Arabidopsis thaliana: one gene and its partners. The protein of the gene in region 4 binds, or shares a complex with, the protein of the main gene of each other region. Each region holds a gene or a part of one and is shown on either strand. Other genes may lie near its edges. The genes, in order: AT3G52860, MED21, AT3G10820 and AT5G20170.

The links.
Region 1: AT5G20170 (region 4) and AT3G52860 share a complex: the UniProt entries of both Arabidopsis thaliana proteins name them as parts of the mediator complex.
Region 2: AT5G20170 (region 4) and MED21 share a complex: the UniProt entries of both Arabidopsis thaliana proteins name them as parts of the mediator complex.
Region 3: AT5G20170 (region 4) and AT3G10820 share a complex: the UniProt entries of both Arabidopsis thaliana proteins name them as parts of the mediator complex.

What each region holds. Positions count from the first base shown.
Region 1 is NC_003074.8:19,591,346-19,594,729, reverse strand, and holds AT3G52860 (mediator of RNA polymerase II transcription subunit-like protein), read left to right. Parts: upstream 1-1,961; 5' UTR 1,962-1,988; coding exon 1,989-2,208; exon of another isoform or gene 2,209-2,398; coding exon 2,399-2,514; intron 2,515-2,597; coding exon 2,598-2,732; 3' UTR 2,733-2,882; downstream 2,883-3,384. Other genes in the region: AT3G52870 (IQ calmodulin-binding motif family protein), read left to right, coding at 78-165, 252-398, 496-588, 717-818, 925-1,365; VSR1 (vacuolar sorting receptor homolog 1), read right to left, coding at 3,040-3,135, 3,235-3,347. UniProt on the Arabidopsis thaliana protein: Component of the Mediator complex, a coactivator involved in the regulated transcription of nearly all RNA polymerase II-dependent genes.
Region 2 is NC_003075.7:2,430,362-2,434,142, reverse strand, and holds MED21 (mediator 21), read right to left. Parts: upstream 1,892-3,781; 5' UTR 1,781-1,891; intron 1,499-1,780; 5' UTR 1,479-1,498; coding exon 1,188-1,478; intron 1,104-1,187; coding exon 1,052-1,103; intron 823-1,051; coding exon 746-822; 3' UTR 508-745; downstream 1-507. Other genes in the region: AT4G04775 (zinc ion binding protein), read right to left, coding at 2,471-2,788, 2,859-3,023. UniProt on the Arabidopsis thaliana protein: Component of the Mediator complex, a coactivator involved in the regulated transcription of nearly all RNA polymerase II-dependent genes.
Region 3 is NC_003074.8:3,385,660-3,391,557, reverse strand, and holds AT3G10820 (Transcription elongation factor (TFIIS) family protein), read right to left. Parts: upstream 4,359-5,898; 5' UTR 4,201-4,358; coding exon 3,832-4,200; intron 3,721-3,831; coding exon 3,652-3,720; intron 3,539-3,651; coding exon 3,456-3,538; intron 3,159-3,455; coding exon 3,106-3,158; intron 3,028-3,105; coding exon 2,906-3,027; intron 2,794-2,905; coding exon 2,766-2,793; intron 2,682-2,765; coding exon 2,398-2,681; intron 2,314-2,397; coding exon 2,232-2,313; intron 2,148-2,231; coding exon 2,054-2,147; coding exon of another isoform or gene 2,053-2,053; exon of another isoform or gene 1,930-2,052; coding exon 1,896-1,929; exon of another isoform or gene 1,650-1,895; coding exon 1,582-1,649; intron 1,406-1,581; exon of another isoform or gene 1,322-1,405; coding exon 865-1,321; 3' UTR 555-864; downstream 1-554. Other genes in the region: AT3G10840 (alpha/beta-Hydrolases superfamily protein), read left to right, coding at 1-5, 122-351. UniProt on the Arabidopsis thaliana protein: Component of the Mediator complex, a coactivator involved in the regulated transcription of nearly all RNA polymerase II-dependent genes.
Region 4 is NC_003076.8:6,806,846-6,812,898, forward strand, and holds AT5G20170 (RNA polymerase II transcription mediator), read right to left. Parts: upstream 4,075-6,053; 5' UTR 3,885-4,074; coding exon 3,796-3,884; intron 3,708-3,795; coding exon 3,503-3,707; intron 3,343-3,502; coding exon 3,229-3,342; intron 3,025-3,228; coding exon 2,939-3,024; intron 2,448-2,938; coding exon 2,060-2,447; intron 1,978-2,059; coding exon 1,531-1,977; intron 1,422-1,530; coding exon 1,107-1,421; intron 1,027-1,106; coding exon 709-1,026; 3' UTR 530-708; downstream 1-529. Other genes in the region: AT5G20180 (Ribosomal protein L36), read left to right, coding at 4,467-4,621, 4,909-5,065. UniProt on the Arabidopsis thaliana protein: Component of the Mediator complex, a coactivator involved in the regulated transcription of nearly all RNA polymerase II-dependent genes.

The DNA of each region.
Region 1 (3,384 bases), on a different chromosome or scaffold from region 4:
GTAGCTCAAGAATCTTTTTTAGGTGATAATTCTTATCTATAACTTTGTGATATATCCGGGTTTTTTTTTTTTGGCAGGTTGGATGTTGGAGGAGGGATAGATTTGGATCTTAACGAATGTCCGAGGTCAAAGCTTAAGCAGCAATGCATTAGATATCTTGGACCTGTATGTGCCATTTTTTCCTCTCTTATGTCAATATTGGTTTTACTTGTTTTTGGGATTTCTCTCATATAAGCCTTTTCTGGTATCAGCAAGAGAGGGAAGAGTATGAGTATGTGATCATAGAAGGGAAGATTGTTCACAAGTTAACTGGAAAGTTCTTACACACAATGCATGGATCGGAAGGAACAAAATGGATCTTTGTTATGAGTACTTTCAAGAAACTCTATGCCGGTCTGGTAAGTTAAAACCGTTATATCTTTCTATTGGTGATGAATTGATATTAGTATTGAAAAAGATTCTAATGGTTCTTTTCTTTGTTTATGTTTACTTCAGAAAAAGAAAGGAAGGTTCCATCACTCAAGCTTTTTGGCTGGAGGAGCTACATTAGCTGCTGGGAGGGTGATTGTTGACAATGGAGTTCTCAAGGTAACTTACTAAGGCCACGTCCTTTTCTTAGAGTGGTTGAGATACATGTTCATTCATATCAACTTTTTTATTATGTCTGCCTTCTGTGATTTCTCTGTTTGATCGTTCTGTTTTCGGTTTAATCTCAGACAATCTCTGCATATAGCGGACATTACAGGCCGTCAGACGATAGTCTCGACACATTTCTCGGGTTTCTCAGAGAGAACGCAGTGAACCTAGACAATGTTGAGGTAATGCCCTTGTTCTAATCTTGGCTGGTGAATGATATCATTAACTAGAGTTTGGTTGTTTAGAAAAAGAGACTACTTGAGAGCTAATATATCTATGTATGTGTAGGTGCATAAAGCTAGTGAAGATTCTGACAGCTACGATGATTATGTTAAATCCAACGGAGGATCTGAACCGGAACCGTTAAAGAAAGAGGACACAACATTCCAAGCAGAGACTGAAACAGATGAGAACGGTAACGGAACAGTGGGAACACTTGAGGAGGCAAAACGGAGTAGCTACCAGAGAACACTCTCAGGTGGACTTGGGAGTCCAAAAGCTAACGTGCCGCAGAAATCTATGCTACTAAGGATAAACTCAAAGAAACAGTCAAGATCATTACAATTGGGACATCAGTTGTCACTGAAATGGTCGACAGGAGTTGGTCCAAGAATCGGTTGTGCAGCTGATTATCCGGTTCAGCTCAGAACACAGGCTTTGGAGTTTGTTAACTTGTCTCCTAAATACCGGAGTAGCAGACTTTCTCCGACCGGGAAGCTTGATGTCTGATCATATGTTCCGTACTTCCTTATGTAGTAGTAAATGAGAATCTTTCTTCTGTAACTAATGTGTGAGTTCTCTATCTAAGGTTTTTGTTGTCATCTTTTCACATGGATGATTGTGAATCAGAAGGAAGAGAATGAGAGATGTGTTAAAAGCTATTTTCACTGATAATGAAGAGAATGGTTACAGTATTTAGTCAATCGCTTACTCATTTTACAAATTTCATTAGAAAATCCATAGCTAAAAAATCTTTAAGTAAGGATGTAACTTATCTAATTTGATGGAGATAAAAAGTTACATAAGGAATCAAAATTTGTTACAAAAGCCATCATCTGTTATATCTTGTGACATCAAATCAAGAGTAAAGTATCAGAAAATGTTGTTCCTTCTCCTTACTATTGTTTTTTCATATGAAATAAATGATTTACTTCATATATTTATTAAAAATGAATTTTCAGTGTTTTCAATTAATTACATCAAAATGATATTCTTAAGAACAATTAAGAATGTGGAAAAGGCCCAATAAGCCCAAATTAAATCCAGTAAATGGGCCCCCATTATAATATTTTTCACTAAACCTTATGGGCAAACAAACAAGCAGAGAGAAAGAGAGATCGAGATCGGCGTGAATGGATTATCAGCAAAAGCCGCCGCAGTCTTCTGACCCTTCGCCGTCACCGCCTGACCGTCCACCGGGAATCAGATCACCGGAGACCCCCTCGAACAATCAGAATAATGACATAGAGGACATTATGGCTTGCGTCACAGCCTTGGAAGCTGCTCTGTTACCATGTTTGCCGGCGAGAGAGCTTCAGGCCATCGATCGCTCTCCTCACCCTTCTCATCAAAGTCAGTCCCTTTTCTACTCTCCAATTTCACCATTCTAGGGTTTTAGTTTGAATGATAGTTTGGAAGTTGTGTTTGTTTTTGTGCTTAACTTATGATCTCAGTGAATTTTGTGCTTAGAATTCAGTTGAAACCGAAGCTTTGATTCCATATTCGATGTTCTAGCTTAATTCCCCTCATTGAACTGCTGCAGTTGATGTGGAGCGGCACGCCAGAGATTTCATGGAAGCTGCGAAAAAGCTTCAGCTTTACTTCATGGGACTAAAGCGAGAAGATCGCGCGCCCTCGAGAGCTGAAAGCCTTAAGAAGGTGTGGTTTGATTTACCAATGTGAAAACTCCAAACACATATTGTCTTACCAGTTTCTGCTCTCTTCTGTTCTGTTCTTAACAGGATATTGCAGTAATGGAGGAAGAGCTTAAGACAAAAGATGAGCTTATAAAGAAGCACATGAGGCTTTTCCAAGAGTCGCAGAAGCTTGTGAAAGAACAGATTGAGAAACACAGAGATGAGCTGGAGAAAGTTTAACAATCTCTCAATCAAAGTTTATTGTTTTTCTTCTTATGGATCTTAAGTTAGTTTCAACAGTAAATAATGTAACACTCATTATTCATCCAGTTATGTCTATTTTACATTGTAAGAGTAATATGCAGACAAAAAGGAGATTCCATCTGCAAATCCACATTTCTTACAAATAGTGCAGGTACACTTATTTCTGTTTGTGGCTTTTTTCTTTTCTCTAGAGTTGTATCAAGTCCATTGATTCATTTACATGGAAACTTAAAGCTACTCATAGAAAGAGAGAGAGTCTCTTGGCTTGTGTTGATAACTTCACTCATATATCCATATGGTGACCACTTGTGTTGGGTGGTTGACTTTCCAATGGCATGTACTGTGCCATGATCCCTCTAATTTCCGCATCCATGTAACTCTGCATAATTTCAATTGTTACTTAGCATCTCTATCTAGACCGCAAAATCTTCCTATGTTTTAATATGATAACAAGACCAGAGTAAAGAACATCGTATACCCTGATTCTGTATTTGTAGACTGCATATCCAGAAAGACCTGCAACACCCACCCCGATTATAAGGATCCACAAAAAGCTCCAGCTGAGTTTTGTGGTTCCAACTTTGCCTGAACCTACACATTCACCAGATTCAAAAGCAGAAAGTCTGAT
Region 2 (3,781 bases), on a different chromosome or scaffold from region 4:
AAGTAGAAAACAATTATTAAGTTTAAAAAAAAAATACAATTTTTTTTTTTCACATAGTAAAAGTATTAGAATTGAACTTTACAAAAAATTAATAAAAATTAAAGAAAAACAATAGTAGAGTCATATTTCACTAAATATTTTACATATAATATTTATATAAATATATATATTGGTAAATTTATACAATTGTTAATTTATAATATTGATCGGACTGGCTAAAGTTTTCTTTTCATCCTAAAGCTTCATCACGCAGACAAAAGATTGTTGGACTCTATACAAGTCTTGTGAGAGAGCGCAAGAAGGATGATGAGTTAGGATATCTTCACATGCTTGAGTACAAATACACAATCAAGATCCGGTTTTGGACCACAACTTATGGACTGGTCATTTCTTTTCAGCAACTTGGATTGAATGTGACAGATACCAGAGTTCATAGTAATTTGACCATCATAGTAATTTGACCAACACTGCCCGGAGAATCAAACATGATGTGTCAATCATGGCCTGTAATTGTGAAAATGATAAAGTGGATTCTCTGAGATTGTAATCAGACAGGTCAAAAAAGTGTAAGGTTAAAATAATGGTTCTGTTGTTGTGAGCTAACTAACATTCTTGTAATTGCTTCTACAACAATTTTTTGGTGAACCAACTTAGAATAGATATTCCTTATGAACCTAAAAGATAATTGTTGCTGAACCAAATCATATAGTTTCTAAATCAGCTCGACAAAAGGTAAACAAGCATTTCATTCAGGTTTCTTCATGTTCAGGCAATTGTCAGCAGCTTGTCCAAACAGCTCTTGTACTTGCTTTAGCTCCTTCTCTGTCACAAACAAGGTCACACCATTAACATCAGCTCAATCGTCAGAGGCAGTTGCAAGGGAAAACAAAAATTCCAAATTCTAGAACCACTAAAGATAACATCTAACCATAGTGCGTGTATCAACAAGAAAGTATACAAATTGAAATTTGAAGTGCATAATGAATCTGCTCCAGTTACAGACAGATAAGACACACCAACAATGAAGTGAAAACCTAAGATCGTTTTTTACCTGCAGCCTCTAGTTGCTTTTGGAGTTCTTGACCAACAAGATCATTTTCCACCTGAAGAAAAAACAGGACAAAGCGGTTAGACAAATAGAAGTAATCGGATTCAAGAACTCGACATATCGGTGTGACTTGTTTGACCTGGAGTTCAGCGATTCTTTTGAGCTGAGCACCTTCACCACCTTCTGACAAAGGAAGTGCAGCAACCAAAGCATCAAACTGTTTAGCAGCCTTAACTAAGCCAGCACTGAGCTGCTTAGGTTGCTCAGGAAAAGGCGTAGCATCATCAGTAACCGTAGTTGTAGCGGGTGGTTCAGGATAATTAGGTGAAAGCTGGACTGGTGGTGCATCCCTTTGCAGTGTCCCAAAAGCATTGAAAGTGATAGCAGCAATCGTATTCACTTGTTCTTGCAACTGTGAGATTATATCCATCTTCCAAAACCTTAAAAGACCTTGAACAAGTATAAAATTTACAGTAATCAATCACATATTAGACTTTTAACATATACTCAAAAGCAAGATATAACGTTCAGAGAGGATCTAGGAGATTCAAATGGCACAAAATTGGTGGTCAATTCCTGAATTTATCAAACAAGATTCTCAACAAAACTAGTGCCAAAGCATAAATCACTTAAAACCAGTTGGATTTCAGAGAGGATCAAAATGGCGAATCCTCAGGGAAAAAATTGACCTAATCGATTTAACGAAGCATAAGCTTTAACGAAGAGACTTACCCGTCGACAAGATTTCTCCGGCGACGCAGAGTCTGTTGGGTGTGGCAACGACAGATAATCGCTGCGAATTGGGGCGTTTTGTTGTTCTTAATAAACTTCGTTCTGCGTTTTGGGTTTGGGCTCGAAGATTTTTAAAATGGGCTTTTAAGGTGGCCTTTCCTTTGGATTTTTGGGCCCTAATTCCATAGAATTCGTAAGGAACGATTTCTGTTGTTTCTTTAAACCTACTGCTTTAATTAATTGACAACTAATTAAAAAAAAAAACACTGAAGTAGAATTGGGTGGCTGATTTTTGAGCCATAAACTATTTCGATTCTCAGCTTTCACCCCCGGACTTTTGGGCCCTTAAATTTTCACCATCAACTTTCATATTCCTCAAAATTACATCATCTACTTTCGAATTCATGCTTAAACATACATTTCCAATTGAACCATTCATTTAACCGGGATTAACCACAAATCTGCGTTTACTGTACCGCGATTGCGATTAACCTGACTAATACCCAGACCCGTTAAGAAAACGACGTCGTTTTCATTTCGTTTAACTCATCAAAAAGAGAAAGAAAACGACGTCGTTTTCATTCTTCTTCTTCTGCAAAATCGATTTGGTCGATTAGGGTTCTTCATTCGACAATTTTATAACAGAGACTAATCCAATACTACAATTTCACTCCAAAACCTCAACAACACCTACACTCTTCCCCAAAGCCATACAATAGATGCAACAATCACAACAGCAACCCCTACAGTCTTCAAAGCTGACTTTGCCATAACATGTCCTAGCTCTTCCACATTCTCCTTCATGGTCAAGAGTTCACCCTCCATCTTCTTAATCAGCTCTTCCTCCATCTGCTTAGCGTTTTTATTAAGGAGCTCCATATTAGCCATCACGTTCATTCTGAGGTCACTAATATTCTCTACAACTCTCTTACACTTCTCATTTACCATCTTAATTTCGTCCAAGAGAGCTTCATCAACCCATTTGAACAAGTGCTCTTCATTTTCTCTCTATAAAACATAATTTCCAATCATTTACTCCTTCAATCAATCAAATATATCACAAAATCGAAATGTGTACCTTCATTGCTATCGCACAACGGTAGAATCTCCGGTATGGATTCTCCTTTGTTTTCGATGTGAATGTAATGATCTCTTCTCCACACCAACATTTCGAGGGGACACCAGGAGGACAGACACGAAATCCTGAACTGGAAGCGGATGAGTAGTAGCTGTTGGTGCTCATTTTCTTATAAAATTGTCGAATGAAGAACCCTAATCGACCAAATCGATTTTGCAGAAGAAGAAGAATGAAAACGACGTCGTTTTCTTTCTCTTTTTGATGAGTTAAACGAAATGAAAACGACGTCGTTTTCTTAACGGGTCTGGGTATTAGTCGGGTTAATCGCAATCGCGGTACAGTAAACGCGGATTTGTGGTTAATCCCGGTTAAATGAATGGTTCAATTGGAAATGTATGTTTAAGCATGAATCCGAAAGTAGATGATGTAATTTTGGGAATATGAAAGTTGATGGTGGAAATTTAAGGGCCCAAAAGTCCGGGGGTGAAAGCTGAGAATCGAAATAGTTTATGGCTCGAAAATCAGCTAACCCAAGTAGAATCGATACTGATTGTGTCTAGTGCTTTAATTATCTCTAGTAGATCTTCAAGGTTTATGCCTTGTCCCTAGTACATTTTGCTATCTCGGTCTGGTGGGTGAGGTGTGATGGTGTTTGTACTTATGTCTCTGGTTTCAGCGGCTTCTTGCTTTCCTCTCTGTCGATTTACTATTAGTTTTGACTTCGGTGTAAAATCTATCCGATCTTATTGGTGTTTCCGGCGTTCACATTTTTTAGGAGAAGTTTAGGTCTTATTTTTCCCATAGTTTTTTATTTTCTTTTGAATTTTGTCTCTTGATTCAATTTCGTTGGTTTAAAATGTTTCCTTATATATGTTTTTGGTTTTACTTCCTTTTTTTCAGCTAAGTTTCTCAAAATATTCCGT
Region 3 (5,898 bases), on a different chromosome or scaffold from region 4:
CCCTGGTAATATCTCTTTCTATAAGATTCTGACAATGAATTAGAAATTGGAACCAAATATTGTGCATTGTATGTCTGAACTCTGAACCAATGACATCATACTATCTTCATGTTTCTAATAGTTCTGATTGTGACGGGAGATACGGACCGTATTGTGCCAGCATGGAACGCAGAGAGGCTGGCACGAGCCATACCGGGATCAGTGTTCGAAGTAATTAAGAAATGTGGTCATCTTCCTCAAGAGGAAAAACCAGATGAATTCATATCTATTGTTGCAAAGTTTCTAGGGAATGCTTTTGGAGGGTCACAACAACAAGACGTGGACTTGAAGTTCCAAGGCATTGTATCATGAAGTATAACTATATATTTTAGCTCAATCAAGACTAAATTTTAGAGAGATTCTTCATGTTATTGGACCTGAAGAAACAAATGTCGACAATATCAAAGACTAGATAGATATAGAATAAAATAACCGAGAGACATTGATTCTTCAACAGATTGATATATAAGCGAGAATAATACACCATGTGGTGCTTCTTGCGAGTGCGGGCAAGTTTTGCAGAGTCCAGTTGATTAGCTTGGAGCTTGAAGCTGGCTTGAAGCTCCAACTCGTCAAGCCAACGCAAAGTTTCTGGAAGAACAAAGTCGGCAACATTTTGAAACTCAAAGCGAGGGGTGCAAAGGACTGTGCAGTCTTCCTCAGCCAAGAGGGCGACATGCTTCTTGTTCGTCAGAGTAGCAGCAGTCTCATCTTCCAGATTCTTCTCATTCGCCTGAGCCATGTACTGCCTGAACTTTTCGAGATAAGCCAAACTAGGGGCGCATCTCATTGCAATAGTAAACATGTAACCAAGAGCATCCACTTTCAGGCGCTTGCACTTGTCCAGTGAATCACAATCTCATGCGGATACTGTGAATCAGTTTCCTTGCATATAGCAACTTGTTGGCGAGCAAGAGACAAGTGAGTAGGATCAAATCGCTGATAGAGGAGGCCACCGGGATGAGTTCGATTGCGGGGAGGAAACTCTCTAGAAACCTTAGAGAGCATATGCATAAAGGTTTTCCCTACGCACCTAACCGTCTCGACGGAAGTCTTATGGATAAGGTCAAACTTAGGGCAAGCCTTGGCCTCGAACCTGACAAAGAGTGATCTCGTAAGGTCCTTGAGAGAAACAGATACGATGGCATCAACAAAATCCTTTTCAGTTAGAAGGACACTCATCTTCTTGAAAATCATCATCTCATCCACCATCTCTGCTTTATCTATCTGCACAAGTACGAGTCCAAAATATACAGGAATATCAATCATCAACTCATCATGTCTACATATGCAGCTAAATTTCAATTCTATGCAATGCAAACAGAGACCATTGTTTTACCAAACCTATGCTCTCACTTATGTTTATCAATAAAGGCCACAAAATTAGGGCTTTTCGATTTCCAATCAAAGACTTTCGGTTGTATCCCCGACGTACAAAATCTAGGCCAGAATTCTTAACAGCTCAACGTTTAACCCATCAGGTTTATCGATAACTAGCACTAGGAAAACAAAATTTACAACAAGGAAAATTGAAGTAGGTACCTTGAGAATTGGGAGGAACTATCACGAGGATTCGCGAGATTGAGGATGAGGGAAGGTAACTCGTAACCCTAGGAATTTATCACTCTGTTATATTTCACCTCATAAGTGATATTAAAAATTACAAAATCTTTGTATAAACAGATTTAAAAAGTTTGCTTGCCTCGCAAGTTAGGTTTAGGGATGGTCAAATACGAGAAGCCCTTTTGTCCTAATAATTTTCTTTTTTATTTTCATAATGAAACATGAAGAAAGTGAAAAAGGGATTTTCCCTTGTCACAATTATGAGGTTCTATTGTCACAAAACCGGACCAAACCGGGAATTCACTGGACCAGAAGTACCAATAAATACTGGGACAAAAGAATAGAGCATCCTAAGAAGTTTATGTTGGATCTGTCAATGCACTTTTGTTGTATATTAACGCCTCTGAATGGTCGTAGTAATTGTATAGATCATCCGAAGGAAAAAATGGACTATCTTCGTGTGGCGGGTCTCTTGAGTTGCGGTTTCTGAACTTTATTTTGCTTTGGGATAGTTTCCAGTACTTGTATCGTCCTCTGTCTCTTAGCTGTTCAAAAACAAATGGGTCATTAAGAATTAGGTGTATTGTAATAGTGGAAATATTGAAATCTCTTAAGACGATTTGACTAACCATTCTCATGTTGGTGGTAGCTCTCTTGGAGTTTCCGCTTTGCAAACTCAAACTTTGAGTCTGGATCCAGAGCTTTGAGTTTCTGAACAAAGACAAGAACACTTGCTATTAGAAACAAAACAGATTAATAATCAAACACCACGGCTTTATTAACTCAAACACTCACATCTTGTTGAGGTCCAGCAAGTTTCCGCTTTTGCTCAGTAACAGCAGTTGGTTTTCGTTGGATTGCGGATACCATTTGTTCTCTACTTTGCTTTGTTTGTCTTTTAGGCTCGACAACATCTGTGGCTGAGTGCTTCATAGGTCTAACATCAGCTTCTTCTCTCCTCGTCTGTTGATCATTGCAGTACCTCCCAACCACATTTGCATCATTTGTTCCCTTGGGTCTCCTCCCCGCACTACTTTGCGATTTTCTTTCATGTTTGGACTCCACACTGTGACGAGGATCTGAAAACAGTGGCCACCATGAGTGTCAAAATATAGGAAAACTTTCAAGTAGAGAACAGAGTACCAAAGAGTATACTAACTCACTTCCATCGCAGTCCAAACAATCTAAGATCTTCAAGTGACCCAAGACATTATGAAACAAGGACGAGGGAGGAAACTTGTCAGGATAACATTTCGTCTATGCCAGAAATAAAATATGATGAGAGGGAAAAATGTTAATAGACCTGAGAAAGTTCAAACCCATTAGGTTCAGGTGCATAGATATCTAAATCATGTGGAGGAGAAGGAAAGGCTTCTTCTTCATCAATTACTGAAAGGTTTAGAGACTCTGGCGTCCCTTCAGTGCCTGCAAGACCCAATTACTATAAATCTAGACCAAAACCTGCTCGCACTGACTACGGAACAGGAGGAGAGAGCTATTTACCAGCCATTTCCTCTGGGGTGTTCATCCACTGGTCCACCAGCCTCTTCCACTCTCTGTGCATCCCATATATAAAAACACAATCTTTATACTCGGGAGCCAGAAAGTAAGGAAGAGTAAAATGTTCTAAGTATTGAGCTAACACAAGAGCAGCTCCCTAATGATCAACCAAGGCTTTTATAATGACATTTTACAATTTGAGACATCCTACAAGGCAACTGGTTTGCATCTAAATCAAACCGTGGAGGTTCAATTTTTTTGGAACATTTTGCCAAAGTTTAATTCACATCACAGATGCGAGAGTATGAGAACAAATGAAACTAAGCACACAATGAGAATGATGAAACTCATACGCGAAAAGAGTCTTTGCAAGTTTGCTAATCTTATCGGAACTATGTCTCCTCAGACCATTAACAGCCTTTCCAATTTCAGTATCCTGCAAGAACGTAAACACTTAAATCACTCCACAGCCTCGAAAAGCTCCATCAGAATAAGCAACTTCCACTACACCAAATCATACAATATCAAAACAACACCAAAAAAACAAACCTTAAGAATGTCCACACTCATAGACATTGACTCAAGCTTTCTCAGAGATTCGAGTAACACAGAATCTTTCTGCAAAAAAGATGACAGAAACCAAAAACTCAACAATCAACACAAAGATTCCAAATTTAACCAATGAATTAGCACAAGTTTTAATGTAATCCAAGCAAAGAGACTAAAAACCTCATCGTCTTTGTTCGACAAGATATCTCTGATCCTCATAACCTCATCAACACTCACAGACGCCTCTTCACCTTCACCCGTCGCAACACCAGAATCACCCCTATCACCGCCGCCGCCAACTCCAACTATCTCCACCGCCGCTTCGTCTCCAGCTATCGAGAGCTCAAGGTGGTCACAACCAATGCAGCGACTCACTTTACAAGAGAAGAGAAGCTCAGCAATTCTATCACTCCTGGATTTAAACTCCTTTGGCCAATCTGCAGCAGCTACCATAATCGCATGATCAATGATACCAAAAATATCAGAATCTCCTCGCCGGAAATACTCTCTCCAAGTATCCAACGAAACAGATGGTCTCATCTTCGCCATCACGAAACGGCGAGGGAAAATCGATTCCGGAATCCGAATTCCTCGATCTGCAAAACCCTAATTAAATTTGAATTTAGGTTTTTGAATACGAATCAATATAGTACTAGTTGTGTAGTTTTTTTTTTTTTTAAGTTTCTCTGCAGGAAATAAAATTCGCCTGAGAATCTGACAAAAGTTTCTGCAGAAAGTCCACAAGAACTTTCCCGAGAAAACTTAAAGAAACAGAGCTTGAGCCAATTAAAAGAGGGCAAGAGAAGAAGACCCTAGAATTTTAAAAAGCCAGAAATTTATGTCGACATTAAAAAACTTAGGTTATAAAAAAAAATGGTAATAGTTTTGATCATTTATCTTGATAACTCATCTGTTTTATTTAAGTAAAATATTGAATTTGTCAATATATATATTAATTCTAAAGATATAGGCTTATGATTAACTGAATGATTATTTAGTTAATAGTAAATTAGTAATAACTAGACTATACATGTGTCGTCCTATATGACATAATGACCCTTGATGAAAAACACGTCACATGGCCTAGCTAGTATAAAGATGGGATATTCGTTTTTTTAAAGTTATGTTATCAACATTACATTCAGAGCATACTGTAATAGTAAATTATTAACACATTACACATGTCCTGATACCAACAATGGGGTACTCATTTTTCAAAGTTATGGATAATTACATTTATCACGTGAATTACTTGAAAGGTAATCTAAATAAACGCGTTTTTGGTGTCGCAATTATGTCGTTTTAAAAAGCATTGTTCATAGTCCCACAGATGTTTAGCACTATTTTTTAATTAGTACTAGTATTAAATTATTATTTTTGTATTTTTTTCATTAAATTTCTCGTTAGTTTCGTGCTTTGACTCTTTTGTTAAGCTTCAGCCACATGTTCCCGTTGTTGAAGCTGTCTTTTGAAGTTTCGTCGTCGATATCATCCTCGACTCTATTTTCAGTTGCGTTAAAGACTTCTCTTCTTCCAAAAGTTTCCTTTTCTTCTATTTTAAATATTCTTTCAGCACTTGGAGATTCACAAGTTTGTCGGATCAATCCATTTTAACTCCGGTAAGCCATACTTGCATGATTCGTTTTGTTTCCACCGATCACATGTTATCGTTTATGCTCCATAGCTTAATCTTTGACTCATTCATGATCTTTTTTTGGTTTAATGTTAAAACCCATGCATGATCTTGTTTCTGCATATTTTTGTTTTGGTTCAGTGTAAAAATTTCTGCATAATTTTGGTTCTACAAAAATAGCTACTATGCAAAAGCAAGATCACGGGGTCAAAGATTAAGCTATGGAGCTTAAACACTACTTGTATTTGACTATTTGTTTCTACGTCATTTGCGTTTGATTTGAATCTAAAGGCCTTTTAATCGATTTCTTGTCATGTGTTTGTAAGGGTTCAGTGTTTTATGTATCTTTCAAATTGTGCTTCTAGTGTATCCATTTTGGATTTGTGAAAGTTGTTTAGGGCTTATATATCTAAAATTGTAAAACCTATTTTAAATTAATATAACAAAACAGTTTCGGACTTTTAACTCATAATATCTCTTCGAATTTAGTTCATTTTCCAACTTTGAAATTCGTTGGCTTGTGATCTTGAAGCCTTGTTCCGTCCGGAATTTATGTTACTTAGTCACCAGTAGAGTTACAAACGATGAGTTATTTTAATCTTTTTTCTAAAAGG
Region 4 (6,053 bases):
CATGCCCAAGAAGAATCATAACTAAACACATGAAAAACTGAGCAAGTACAATTATCGTCAAAACCTAACAATTTATCACTACCGAGATTTGTAGAAGAATAATCAAGGGAATATGTTCATCTATTCGTCACTAATAAATCAGATTTACTATATATAGAAGCATCTGTGAATTTCATAATTATCAGATCATATAGTGAATCCAACTCCATAACGGTGACTCTCTCTCGAGAGAGCAGCAAATCAGAAAATTGAGAAATATCGATCGGTGGATGGGATGATACAAAAAAAGGGAACAGCAAACCTGAAGTTGAGCTGAAATCGATGCTAATGGCTAGAGAAATTAGGGTTTTGAAGCTTGAATCTTAGCAAAACAGATCAGCGAGACGTCAAGAGAGGGATCGAGAGACGGAGGAGAGAAACGTTCGCGTCAGAGTTATTCTCGTTTTCTCTACATATTTCCAATTCTACCCCTTTCTTCCTTTAAGTACTAAAGTCATTATGATTTCAAAGATTTTTTAAAAAAGAAAAATTGATAATATTATTTGAAATAAAGATGTTTTATAATAATCATCAATCCTTAATCCATAAAATCCACATTTCCAACTATTCAAAAAAGTGATGTTTGGGCTAGACACTAGAGTCTCACTAAACCATTGTAATCTACAAATCTTGAAGAACTAAACATGTTCACTACTTGTCTTTCAGCATTTACAATCTCTCTAAAGCATTGCGACCAGTACCACACAAGTTGATCAAATCCATGAGAACAGAGTACAAGACATCCAGAGACAAATGACCCAACAACTTCCTACTCTCCGACACTCCTTCCCTCTCCTCTGTGCATCCATTCTCCATCACTAGCCACCACGAGATGCATCCTTTTGCGTCTTCCGGGTTTACATGCGCCACCAGGCTCACTCTCTCCCCTTCCACTATCTCTAACGATAGTGACAGAAATTCCCTGCTCGCTTTTGTCCCTACCGTCCGTGCTTCCTCCAGTAGCCAACACACTATCTGGCTCGCCACCTTCTCAAATAAATAAACCGCGTGTTTAAGGGACCGTGTTGCTATAGACATGATCAACTTTAGGAAACGAAAGAACATACCTGTTGGAGAATCATCACGGGAAGGTCGGCCACGTCGCACTCGTATTTGTTTATAGAGAATAGATTGCAGGAACTGCTTTTGAGTAAGCCAACCACATTGGGCGTGCATTCCGCTTCAACACTAATACAATCATCCTTCACCACCACTTTTGTCCGGAACTGCGTCTTAAGATTCCTCTTACCATCAGGAGACTGGGTTTCAGACCTTCCTTGGGGGATGATTGATGGAGGAACAGTCATGAAGACAGTCCATGACGATGTCCGAGAATTCCATGTAGGATGAGATATCAGATGAAGATACGGGACCTTGCAGACCTGTTCAATGAGGAAGTAACCATTTTTTTTAAAGCATGATCAAAGATGACAACAAGTTTCTTGATAGAGAAGGATCATTCAATAAAGTTTAGCACATCAGGGAAAATACCACGCTTTCAAGATGCACAAGAACTCTATTTGAGAAGATTCTATGAGTCAAAGATAAGCAGAAATGGTCAAGAAGTCCGGAGTTGCTGTCCTTTTCTGTTTGATTGGATGCTCTGATACTTTTTGACTTGAGCTGATCTTTAGCTTTTCCAAAGGCATGCTCGTGAAAAATTTGTTGCAAGTATATTTCATAGCTGGTGCGATTAGGGAACCCTAGCTTCTTCAAGCGATAGTCTCCTCCTTCTGCTGGTTCTACTCTGCCAGATGATTCAATGAGCAAGGTTGCAGATTCCGACTTCTTGATGCTGGGATTTTTGCCTGATGGGTGGAGAGACACAAACAGAGAAGCTCCTTGGCCGATGCTCATTTCCATAAAATTTTCTCGTAGTCCACTTATGTTGAATCCCACACCTTCATTGAATGCTTCACGATTTAGCATGTCAAACAACTGGTAAGAAGACCAAAGAAGTGAGAAATAGTCGTGAAGAGATATACCAAGCGTACTACAAGATATATGACAAAAATACCACCTGCTCAGCAAAAATTGATTTATGCACCTCCCTCAGTAGCGAATGAGTTTCTTTAACATATTTGTCGTCACTTGCAGACAACTTCTCTGATGTTCCAGGGATATCGTGACCAGTAGTCGAGTCTATGTGCTCATCAGATTCGTTTGAGTTGCCAATCGGATTTAAGCCAACATACCCAAACCGAAGAGAGTACCATGAATCTTGGGGTACATTAATGGCCAGCATACCAGCTGAATCATGATCTACACGAATAGTGGACAGTGTAGATGGGCGAAAACCAGAAGTCGGATCATATAATGAACTGTCAGAAAGATCAATGGTGAAGCCCTCATTGCTGGCATTTGAAGCAAGCATGCGTTGTCGCTTGACTTTCCAGTTCCGCTGCAACCTATAAGCTTGTTAGTATAGCAAAAATAACCATTTGCACGTATAAATCAATCTCTATTTTGGAAGCTGAAGTCAGCTTATCATTTTATACAAATTATGAGCAATTTCAACGGAAATTCTCTAATTTGTGTTGGCATAATCTTAAGCAGTCACTACACAACAAAATGGATGTTCCTGAAGTACTGTACTATGCAGGTTCAGTAACAGAGACGGTGTAGAAGTCAAAATTTAGAACTTTTTCACATTAGACAAGAATAATAAAATGCTTTCACGTTTATCAGTCATAAGTCATAACATATTACAAAACCTACGTGCGTAATAACTCTACATCCAAAATTCGGACGCTAATTATCTGTGCACAACACAAATAGCTATGACATTGTAAGCTACCTAAAACTAGTATCAAGAATGCAAACAACAAATTCTTAAAAGTTGCAAAATAGTACTAAGGAAAATAGCCACTGACATTAAATGAAAAGCAAGTACTCGAACCTGATAAGAGCACCATAAAACCTTGCTTCACGATTGATTTTCTGCTCTAAAGCTTTTGCTGATTGTTTAAAGTAGTTTCCTAAATTCTGCAGAGGAAACAGATATTCAGAAGTGAGATAAGCATACCATCCAAAGACAATTATATAGTTAAAAAGCTCTTTACGAAACCAAGTTAATGTTTCCAACAGTTTCTCAGGATACTAAAAAGTGCCTAACTAATAACAATTACAAGAATCCTTCCATCTTTAAGCAAAGTTAAATTGCACATAAGAAAGTAAGCTACTGATTACCCGGTAGCCCTGCAGCTTGGTAGCAGTAGACACAGCAAGATCCGAGAGAATCTCATTCGGCATCGGCTTAGGTCTGGTCATCCCAGCAACTGTTACTGCATCATTTGCTTGGACCTTCAAAGATAAAATCAGAAGATAAATTGTTTAAGTTTTACTCTCTATTCAAATATCAGAAACCAAACTTCAGCTCCTTCCATTCAAACCAATAAAACAGACACTGTAAGAGCTATGAATATCCCAAAATTCTTATCTATTATCAACAAGAGTCACTCACTGTGTCGATAAGGTCAATGATGACAGTGAGCTCCTGATGAGCCAATTGCAAATTCTCAACCATTCCCTTCCATTTCCATTGCTCCACGCTATCCTTGGAGCTTTTCTTCTGCTTCTTCTTCTTCAGCTCATCTTCCTCTTCCAACGCCCACGCGAAGTCTATTCTCCGAATCAGCGATACTCTCTTATCATCGTAATCAACATCACTACACGTCAAAAACAAAAGGAATAATTTAGAAGCAAAACAATCTGGGAAGATTTTGTCTCGTTTCTCAAACACCAGACAACACTTACGAAGGAAAACGCTCGGCGCCATTTTCTTCGATAGATTCCAATCGTTTAATGGGAAGCCTGTCGAGAGAGATTTCCATGTCGCTATCCATATCGTACAGAAAAAAATCTTCCCGGTCAAAAATTCAGATTTTCTAGGTCGACGGTAACACAGTCCGGCCAAATCGCTTCAACGCTCCAAATCGGATATTTAGATCTAATAATCCGGGTCAAAAAAATTCCGGATCATTTTTACGGGTAAAGCCCATTAAAAGCCCAAAATATGTTGTACTCTGACTGTGCAAAACTCCTCCGTAAAACCCTTTCATTTGCATTTGGGAATCGATTGCTCTTCTTCGTAGTCGCCTTTGAATTCGCAGGTATTTTTTTGTTCTTCGCTTGATGGGTTCTCGTTGATTATCACTCGATTTCGTATCTGGATCTATTATAGGGTTTTCTCTTGTGTGATTCCGTGTAGTTAGAGATGGATGCTTCAGATTCGTTTTACTTTTGCTTCCATCATCGGATCAACTAAGGATTGCAGTTTTTCTGGTAGATTAAGTAGAAATGATATGTTTAGAGGATACAATCCTTAGTTTTGAATCTTAAAGTTGAATACTTTGAAGAGTTCTCTTTCATTTTCATCTAATGAGTTTTGTGTTAATGATCGGTTGTGAATTGCAGAGTGAGAAGCAATGAAGGTGAGATCATCTGTGAAGAAGATGTGTGAGTTTTGTAAAACAGTGAAACGTCGTGGACGTGTGTATGTTATATGCTCTTCCAATCCTAAGCACAAGCAAAGACAAGGGTTCAGTTCCTTTGCTTATGAAGGAATTACACCTTCCCCTTTGTAAGTGAATCTTGTATCTGGTTTTCGCTTTTGAGTAATTAGGTGTCTCATTCGGATTTTGGACGGGTTAAATACAGTGTATATTGACTACTGTGAATCACTTACTACCCAAATTTTGTCCTATAGAATCATTGAATGAAAAGTGAGGATCTATTTAGAGTCTGTTGAACAGTTACTAAAATACATTATAGTGGAACATCACACAGAAGCATGAAGCATGTGCACTTGTTTTCCTTCGCAGAGTTGAGAGTAACTTACTTAAAAAGTTATTTGGGATTGTAAAACAGGTTTGCTGAGCCGATTGCTAGTCAGGAGTTGGTGAGGCTGCCTGGTCAGGGGGTATCAGCCGGACTGGCATCACTTTTACACAAAAGGCCTATGCCAACAGCGTATTTCGGATGGAGGTCTGGTCTTGCATCCATTCTCTTCAAACAAGGAAATTAGGATGTCAGCATTTCCCTTTTTATTCTTCAGATTTGTAATCGCAGTTTTCTTCCAATTCCTATGAAACATTATTGTATATCTCTCCACTTTTACTTTGGTCAGTCGTATGCTCCTTCGAGACCTGTTTGATTGTGCCTCGCATGACCTGAACAAAGAGATATATTATGACACTCGAGTATTTGTTTTTACATTTTCCACTGGAGCATATGTTAGGGATCAATATGTTTTTCTTTTAGAAAACTCTGGTTAGTGATATCCACATCGATTACATGCCAAGGAAATGAGCAAATTGTGGTTGAATTTGTATTGACCGCGTACCAAGTAGTTTGAAATATGTTGTGGCTCATTTGCGCATGTTTATAGTCAAATTTCACTATTCCAAAATGAGGCTGCACAAAGCACACCCACTAAATGCGAATCAAATACAATGAAACTGGAGAGACGGAGACTTCTCAACGACAACGACCCTTCTCTTTCTCCACCGTTGAGCACTCGGCTCGTAGGTCCTACGTGGTGGTGTGAGAGGTCACAGGAAGCCCACTCTGATAGGCATATCCCATGGGCCCCGCTTCTGGACAGTACTACTTTTGGACATAACAAGCCTTCTTTATTACTTTTTGTTGTAGTTTTCCCTCAGTCAAATCGTTAACAGCTTCATTCCAAAAAAATCACCTCACCAATAATTGTCATACTCTTTCGTAATTTCCATTTTTGAGCTGCAATTTTAACCAATTGATCTCGAGAGATAACCATCATAATTGTGTTTCTTTCACAGGAAACAAAAAATACGAAAGGGATAATTAATCTACTCAATATATAAAATTCAGAAAGGATAATTTCTCAAAGGTTCAGGATTCCTTGCCAATGAAAATTAACATGATCTTAATATATATATCATTTGTTTACTTGGACTATATGACGTATTGGTCACGGTTGTTCTTGAATAATTGAGTTGTTCACTTGTCGTCTGATTAATGTGTTTGGTTGA